2 linked regions of the Xenopus tropicalis genome follow. The protein of the gene in region 1 interacts with the protein of each later gene in a pairwise test. Links are inferred from orthologs where the notes say so. Each region holds a gene or a part of one and is shown in the gene's direction. Other genes may lie near its edges.

The links.
Region 2: the proteins of pogz (region 1) and creb1 interact in a two-hybrid assay, tested with the Homo sapiens proteins (2 studies listed by BioGRID and IntAct). The link is inferred for Xenopus tropicalis from reciprocal best matches to the Homo sapiens genes POGZ and CREB1.

What each region holds. Positions count from the first base shown.
Region 1 is NC_030684.2:144,795,200-144,799,810, forward strand, and holds the start of pogz (pogo transposable element with ZNF domain), read left to right. Parts: upstream 1-1,604; 5' UTR 1,605-1,812; intron 1,813-1,936; exon of another isoform or gene 1,937-1,958; intron 1,959-3,234; 5' UTR 3,235-3,288; intron 3,289-4,611. UniProt on the Homo sapiens protein: Plays a role in mitotic cell cycle progression and is involved in kinetochore assembly and mitotic sister chromatid cohesion.
Region 2 is NC_030685.2:49,782,918-49,787,437, reverse strand, and holds the start of creb1 (cyclic AMP-responsive element-binding protein 1), read left to right. Parts: upstream 1-1,557; 5' UTR 1,558-1,691; intron 1,692-4,520.

The sequences.
Region 1 (4,611 bases):
TTAAACTAGTGTGTTTGCTACAGTAACACTACTATAATTTATATAATAAGCTGCTGTGTAGCCCCGGGGGCAGCCATTCAAGCTGGAAAAAAGGAGAAAAGGCACAGGTTACATAGCAGATAACACACAAGTTCTGTAGAATACAATAGTGTTTTATCTGTTATCTGCTATGTGCCTGTGCCTTTTCTCCTTTGAATGGCTGCCCCCATACTACACAGCAGCTTATTTATATAAATTATAGTAGACTTTCTGAAGTAAACACACAACTTTTACCAGTGCAGAGCAGCAGCAGATTATATTTTAGTTACTTTTATACACTTTCATTTTTTGGTGTTACTGTTCCTTTAAATAGGGCCATTGGGCCATTTCATATTTTCATTAATGACACAGGCAGCCATATTGCTACTAACAGGGAAGCAGGAGGCCATTGATATGACAGTAATTAAAGACAGAAGCAGCCATATTGTTACACTGACAGCCATATTAAATAGCCATTGGACAATTATTATTCTACATAGTTATTAGTGACACTGGCAGCAATATTGCTACACACAGAAAGATTGTTATGAAAGACTTTCTAATGACACACTGACACACATATTACACTGTTATTACACACAGTTACTAGTGACACAGGCAGCCATATTGCTACACACAGGAAGACACTGTTATTAAACACTATTATTGACACAAGTAGCCATATTATGACACTGACAGCCATATTAAATTGGACCATTGTTATTTTTACAGTTATTAATGACAGGGGAGCCATATTGCTACACATAGGGAAGTAGAAGGCCATTGTTATTACACACAGTCATTAGTACCACAAGCAGCCTCATTATTAAAGTGGAAGCCATATTAAATAGCCATTGGGCCATTTCATATTTTCATTAATGACACAGGCAGCCATATTGCTACTAACAGGGAAGCAGGAGGCCATTGATATGACAGTAATTAAAGACAGAAGCAGCCATATTGTTACACTGACAGCCATATTAAACAGCCATTGGACAATTATTATTCTACATAGTTATTAGTGACACTGGCAGCCATATTGCTACACACAGAAAGATTGTTATGACAGACTTTCTAATGACACACTGACACACATAGTACACTGTTATTACACACAGTTACTACACACAGTTACTAGTGACACAGGCAGCCATATTGCTACACACAGGAAGACACTGTTATTAAACACTATTATTGACACAAGCAGCCATATTATGACACTGACAGCCATATTAAATTGGACCATTGTTATTTTTAGTTATTAATGACAGGGGAGCCATATTGCTACACATAGGGAAGTAGAAGGCCTTTGTTATTACACACAGTCATTAGTACCACAAGCAGCCACAATATTAAAGTGGAAGCCATTTTAAATAGGGCCATTGGGCCATTTCATATTTTCATTACTGACACAGGCAGCCATATTGCTACTAACAGGGAAGCAGGAGGCCATTGATTAAAGACAGAAGCAGCCATATTGTTGCAGTGACAGCCATATTAAAACACATTGAGCCATTGTTATTTCACACTGTTGCTGCCCCTGTCTATTCCATCAAGGGTAGGGCCTTGCAGCCGTGACGTCACGGACCGCCTCAGGCAAGCAGCCAATCAGGAGACGCGGAGGAAATGAAGTCACGGTATCCATCCGCGCCGTGTGGCCCGTGTCCCTCCGCGCCGCTCTCCCCTCTTTGTACGCAGCTGGCGGTTAGTGTCCGGCGGGTGTGACCGGGGGGAGGGAACCCCGGGGCGGGACCGAGCCTGGGAGCGAACGGGGCTGCGCGGCAGTAGGAGGAGGTAAGAGGCCGAGTGGGCGGGAAGGATGTACGGGTAGGCCCTGGGGCCCTGCAGTGTCGGGGTGCGGGAGTCCAGGCCACAATGTAACCTTCCACCTCCATGTTGCTTCATGGGGATTATTTTGTGAGGAGGAGCATGGTGTAGGGGTGAGGGCTCCCTGCTGTGAGTCTGTAGTGGGGTGTAAGCATCAGCACCCATGGGTGGGACAGCACCAAGGGGAATGGGGGGCTCACACAAGTGAGGGGTGGGACAATGGCAGCACCAAGGGGCCCCTCAGGCACAACTATATTATTATTATATTGCTGTGTATGTATATATATATATATGGCTGCCTGAATGCACACAGCTATCCCTGTCATGTACTGGCCAACTGGCCCATATATATATATATCATAGAGATGTGCGCGCCCAACGTTTGGGCCTTTATTTGCCCCCTTCCTCAGGCCGCAAGGATTCCCAGCCCCGCGGGTTTGACTCTGTGTGTATATATATATATATATATATATATATATATATATATGGCTGCCTGAATGCACACAGCTATCCCTGTCATGTACTGGCCAACTGGCCCATATATATATATCATAGAGATGTGCGCGCCCAACGTTTGGGCCTTTATTTGCCCCCTTCCTCAGGCCGAAGGGATTCCCAGCCCCGCGGGTTTCACTCTGTGGCCGTAGAACCGCATTTATGCGAATCCAGTTGCCCAATCCGTGATCTCCGGCTTTAGCCAATGAAATTGGAACCTGTTAGGGTTTAAAGGGGAAATATTGCGTGAAAAAAACATATGAATTGTACTTATCTCCCTATAGAAGGAATGGGCTTTAAAAAGTAGTGTTTTGGGTGTATTTATTGAAAATATCTTTATAAAACTCCACTAGTCCCGCCCATCTGTCCCACTTCCTGCTGGTTCCTTTCCCAGGCCCGCCCACTTCACCTTAGCACAGGAACCAATCAGCAGCTAGGCTGACCTGATAGGGACCCGAAGGCTGTCTGTGCTTGTGATTGGTTCTCCCACTCCTACTGTGCTTCTGGCAGGGACCGTTGGGACACGCCCACCCCTCATATGAAACCCAGACAGGGACCTGAGAGGATCTATAGGGAGCTCCAATAAAGGGGCCATTGTTACAGATTAATGTTTAGCCCAAAGGGAAACCAGCAGGTCCATTCCGTTTGTGTCCATATATTCTCTCCTGTGGGATATAGGAACTCTGGGTCGTTACCATGGTTACCTTTGGGCACAAAGTTCTTGTTCTGCCCTCGGATCATACCAAATTGAGCCCCAAACGGAATTTCGTTGGAAGTTGCACAATGTGTACCGGGCGCTGGGCCCAGAGCACCGGGGAGCCGAGTTCTGTTGGGTTATTGTAAATGAACCATAATTGCGAAATAATGATTTCTATTTATTTTTGATGTTTTTAGGATTAAAGGCAGAACTTGCAGCTGAATTCTCCGTGTCCAGGGATCAAATAGAAGGTACTGTTGGACTCTCGGCTCTGTCGCTGTATGTAGGAGGTTGGACTATTGGTTGGACTATTACAGTTGGTACATTAGTTGGTCAATTTCCCAGCAGCCCCTTCAGCCCCTACTGAGCATGCTCCCTGAGCGTTACTAACGTCTGTCCCATAGCAACTGTTACAGTTGGTACATTAGTTGGTCCATTTACCTGCAGCCCCTACTCAGCATGCTCACTGAGCGTTACTAATGCCTGTCCCATAGCAACTGTTACAGTTGGTCCATTAGTGGGTCCATTTCCCAGAAGCCCCTTCAGCCCCTACTGAGCGTGCTCACTGAGCATAACTAATGCCTGTCCCATAGCAACTGTTACAGTTGGTCCATTAGTTGGTCCATTTCCCAGCAGCCCCTTCAGCCTCTACTGAGCATGCTCCCTGAGCGTTACTAACATCTGTCCCATAGCAACTGTTACAGTTGGTCCATTAGTTGGTCCATTTCCCTGCAGCCCCTACTGAGCATGCTCACTGAGCGTTACTAATGCCTGTCCCATAGCAACTGTTACAGTTGGTCCATTAGTGGGTCCATTTCCCAGCAACCCCTTCAGCCCCTACTGAGCATGCTCACTGAGCGTTACTAATGCCTGTCCCATAGCAACTGTTACAGTTGGTCCATTAGTTGGTCCATTTCCCAGCAGCCCCTTCAGCCCCTACTGAGTATGCTCCCTGAGCGTTACTAACGTCTGACCCATAGCAACTGTTACAGTTGGTACATTAGTTGTTCCATTTCCCAGCAGCCCCTGAAATGGAACCATGAAGGATTTATAAACCCCAAAGTATGAGTATGAAGCAGTACAGGGGTATATGTAGCCCCCAAGCATGGTTGCAGAATGCCTACTGCCTCTAATACCCCAGTCCATACCCCGGAACTGACTTTGTGGCAACAAGAACACCCTGACTCTTTTGCATTTAGGTCTCCTCAGAATTTTCATGGGGTTCCACGTGGGTCTTTATTTCAGCATGGCAGATACACTAAACTCTCACCCCCCCCCCCCCCCCCATTTGCTGGTTATAATGGGCGGAGTCTGCATAGGGAAGCCACGCCCTGCTTCATTTGGCGCTCTGTGTTTTACAGATTTAACAGAACCCAAAACGCGTGTCAGCTCTGGGGTCACGTCTTTTGGGGTTGGGATTTGGCACATCCCTCTGTTTTTATAGTATATTTGTTTCAGTGAAACATAAAGGACTTTGGTTGAATCAGATTTAAACCCCTACATTAGAAACTGCTCCTGATCTGTAAGCCCGAGACACCCGCAGAATTATGTGATTGATAGTATTACAGGGGATA
Region 2 (4,520 bases), on another chromosome or scaffold:
TCTTAATACTTAAAGGAACAGTAACACCAGAATATGAAAGTGTTTTAAAGTAATTAAAATGTAATGTACTGTTGCCCTGCACTGGTAAAACTGGTGTATTTGCTACAGAACGCTCCTATAGTCTATATATAAATAAGCTGCTGTGTAGCCATGGGGGCAGCCATTCAAGCTGGAAAAAAGGAGAAAAGGCACAGGTTACATAGCAGATAACAAATAAACTCTATAGAATACAATCACATTTTATCTGTTATCTGCTAAGTAACCTGTGCCTTTTCTCATTCGAATGGCTGCCCCCATGGCTACACAGCAGCTTTGCTTATATAAACTATAATAGTCTTTCTGAGGCAAACACACCAGTTATACCAGTGCAGGGCAACAGTGCATTATATTGTAATTACTTTAATATGCTTTCATATTTTGATGTTACTGTTCCTTTAAAGTTGGCCATACATGGCAAGGTCACTAAACGGGCAAATCTTTCACCCGATATGCCTACCTTGGGTGGGTGATATCGTGCCCCATCACATTGCAATGAAGGGGATAGGAAAAGCCAGATCAAGGACCACATCAATAAGCCAATGCAGTCCCCGATCCTGCAAAAAATCAAGCACGTACAATCAACATCTGGATCATTTTTGGCCAGATATCTGTTGGGGGGGTTCTGTCGGAGGGTCCCATGCAGGGGCAAATAAGCTGCAGAGTCGGTCTTAAGGAACAGAATTAGCATCTGAAATCTGGCCCCGTATGGCAACCTTAAGTTGCAATGGAAAAATAGTTACACCAGCACACCCTTACCTCCTCCAACAGGTTAGCTACTTGGTGCACGGCCCAGAGAGTCCGCACTCTCCGCAAAGTCCAGTAAAAATGATTTCAGCCGGCACAACAAGTAAAGTGCAAGTGGGGTATAACCCCTGCGTGTTTATTCAAGGCAACGTTTCGGGGGCGAACCCCTTCATCAGGCCACCTAATACTCAAGGTGGCAAGTACACTATAGCGTCATAAGCACTTCATGAAACAGCTCCGATTTAAAAAGAAGAAGGGCGACAGGGTAACGTTATCTGTTCTAGAATCGTAATAAAACTATCAGACTAACCTGTAAAACATGAAAACTAAACTGATAGCTTTAATCACAACAACGGCACTGTTCATTCAGCCAAAGCAGCCAAAGCACAGGTAAGGTCGCCGCGGGTAACCAAAGCCCGTTTCTCATAATTCCCACACTCACCAACCTTAACTGCCTGTTAGCTCTGTAGCTTTACTGCAGCCTGTGCAAGTTGTCGCATCAGTAGATACACGGGTTTCCGCTTACAGTGTCGGAAAGGGGTATTGGGAACTGTAGTACAACTGCAGCAGAAAGGTTTTACTAAGGCCTAACTTCTGCGCCTGCCCAGATTCCACCCTGCGCTAGCTCCGCCCCGCCCTCTGCTGTTGGCTGCCTAGTCTGTCGAGGCCTTCCTCAGTGTCCTGTCGGAAAAGAGCCCGCCGCCCTGACGCCGCGCCCGGGCCTGAGCTTAAGAAAAAAAAAAACTAGCGCCACCACAAGAGGAAGAAGAGAGAGCAAGAGCAGCAGTGACGCGGCGGAGGTGTAGTTTGACGCGGTGTGTTACGTGGTGGGGAAGAGAATAAAAAAAAGCCCAGCGAGATCCCAGCCGCGAACGAAAGCAGTGACGGAGGAGAGGCAGTGTAACCCGGTAAGAGGAAGGAGGAGGAGAGGGAGAGGCATGGAGGAAAAGAGATGGAGCAGGCCTCACCGCCGGCTGCTTTCACAAATACCCAGGCGGCAACTGATTGTAGGGAGGGATTTCTGGGGGCTGCCAAGAACAGCGCGCCGGCTTTTCCTTCGAGCTTGCTTTCCCGCCTGTCATGGTTCCCCTTTTTACCCCCTTAGATAATACAGAATGTTTACCCCGCCATAGTAAAAATGGAGACCGTGCGGAGGGGGTGAAATAAAGAGCCGCGAAACAAAGGATAATGGCGGCCGGGAGGAGGCAGCCGGCGGCGGCAAGAGCTGGGGTGTGCGATACAGCCACAGGGGGTCACCGGTGGGGAGACCTCCGCAATCTTTCACTGTCGCGACAGTCAACGGTGCTTATCACGACACATATATATATATATATATATTATATATGTGTGTATGTATATATATATTTTTTTTTGTGGCTTGTTAGATACATGCGACTAGTATCGTTCATGTTTTCCCGCAATATAGTCTTCATTCAAAGGGGAATATTCATGATGCGATGAACGAATTCTTCTTTTCCTCCCATATTTTTTAACACTACTTTTTAAAGTTAAATTTCTTTTTAAAGTTTAACGTGACTCTTAGGTTATTATTTATAAACAATGCTCCTACCTGCGGCACTCCAGCCGGGGTCGAACTAAAGGTCCTGTCAGGATGAGCTGAGGGCTGCATATTAGTAGCTGAAGGGCCGCAGGTTGGACTTGAGTGGCTCGCTAGTTGGTACAGAGGGAAAGCAGGCAGGTCTTTTTGCTGAGCATGACTTCATTTCGAATTGTTAGTGGGTTCCTGAAATATCTGATCGTCAGGGTTCACCAACTGTCTGCTCTTCTGGCAGCAATGGGTAGATATTTTTATTTTTTTACTGTATATTCTTACCCCAGCTCCCGGGCATCCTTCTAGTCATGGTTTAATAGTTGTCCACTGGTTGGGTAACAGCAGCATCAAGGGTCAGTGTAGACTGGTGAGGGTGAGCTCTTTGACCAAGATTACCAGAGGGAGGTTCCACTAATCCTGCTTTTAAAGCTTCATATTTATGTGACCCTTGTTCTGCAGTTTTTTTTATCCTGTGTTGAATGTTTGAAGCTCTAAAAACAGAATTGGCCCCAATGTCTCTCTGGCAGTCTGTGTATGTATTTTGACACATTTTTCATGAAGAAATGAAGATTGTAACATTTCAGAGATTTCCATGTTTCATCCAAGACTGGTACGGTTTTCTTGTCCATATATTTTGTTGCACTGCAATCCCTTATTGAACTTCCACATTATTTCCCTCATGCTTGCTCATTACTTTTTGTTTGATGAAAACATCTGGACAGTGAGAATAAAATTTGTTTATAATAGATCTTTACATTTTGTTTTATTTAGTATTGTCTACTTAATGCAGATCTGCATTTAAAGTATGTCAGGTATGATTAGACTTCAAAAGTATGAAATCTACATCACCTTAGTAATTGCAGGGAAGCATTAAAGCACAACTTTTGTGGTACTCAAACATTCTGCCAAGTAGAGGGCTAAGGACCCCAGGTTCTAGAAAGCTGTAATTTGTATTGGTCAATTTAGAGACCCAAGTTCTAGCTTGTCCGTTTGGGGCTAATATGTGAATACCCAAAGCACTCATTTACACACAATTAAACTTGCTAAAACTTCATTGCTGGTACCCTATAACATGGCTTCAGGGGGGTTGGTACATATTAGTGTGCTCGTTAATTCTAACATTTATAAGTGACCTGATATCGCTTAAATATTAATTGATTTAATTTGAATGCAGACAAACATAGTTTGGCTTTATTTGTGATATTTTAATTTAAGGCTTAAATATTTCAGTAATTAGAATACTGTTTTATATTCTTGGTTAATGGCAAACAGTTATAGACTTCTTTAGAGATGTTTTTAAACACCAAGTAAACTTTACAGTGCATATAGATGGATTTCAAAGGGTTCCCCCCCATAAGAATGCTGTTTTTCCCTTGAAATGCAATAAAGTTAAAAACAAAAATGCTTGCATTTTATTTTTTGTATTTGTGTTTTGCTTATTCAGTCACTTCCTGTTAGGCGGGATAGGTTGTTTTTTTTTCCCAACACTTTGAACATTCTCCTGTAAGTCTGCCTTTTCAAAGCCCCTTTCCAGAAACCCCAAATAAGCTGCATGCGTATTTTTTTTTTTTTTTTCGTTATACTCTAGTTATTGAACACTTTCATAAATAGGCAGAGATCATCATACACTTAAGCTCTGAGGTATATTTCAAAGTTGTTTTCATTTTAATAATACATTAGATGAAAACTTTCTTTTTATGCAAGGGCTTTGCAGGTTTTCATTTTGATTACTAAAAGGAAAACAAAACTGATAGAAACACTATGAGGGTGACACATACCTCTCCCATCCTAGTATAATAATGCTGTTAAAAACCTGTAGCTGTGGCCTTTTATTATAGTACATAATAATAGAGAAATGTCTTGTATGGCAAATTCTAGTATATACCTTTGGCATATTTTGCTGAGTGAATCCCAGTCTGTCCATAAGATAAAATAAATCTAAATAGCAGGAAATAAATATTGTATAATGAGACGCTTCCCTGTCTTAAGGCCTGTGATATGTCATATATATAAGTGTGCAAAAGTAGCACAGAAATGTTGAGCTGCTTTTCACACAGCACATTGCCGTATAGAAGTAAAGCGTATTTATTTTGCTGTGGACGGTCTGCAAATCTGCATAAATAGAACAGAAAACAGTGCATATAGTATATGTCTCTGAGATTTATATGTTCTTCAGCAATTGTAT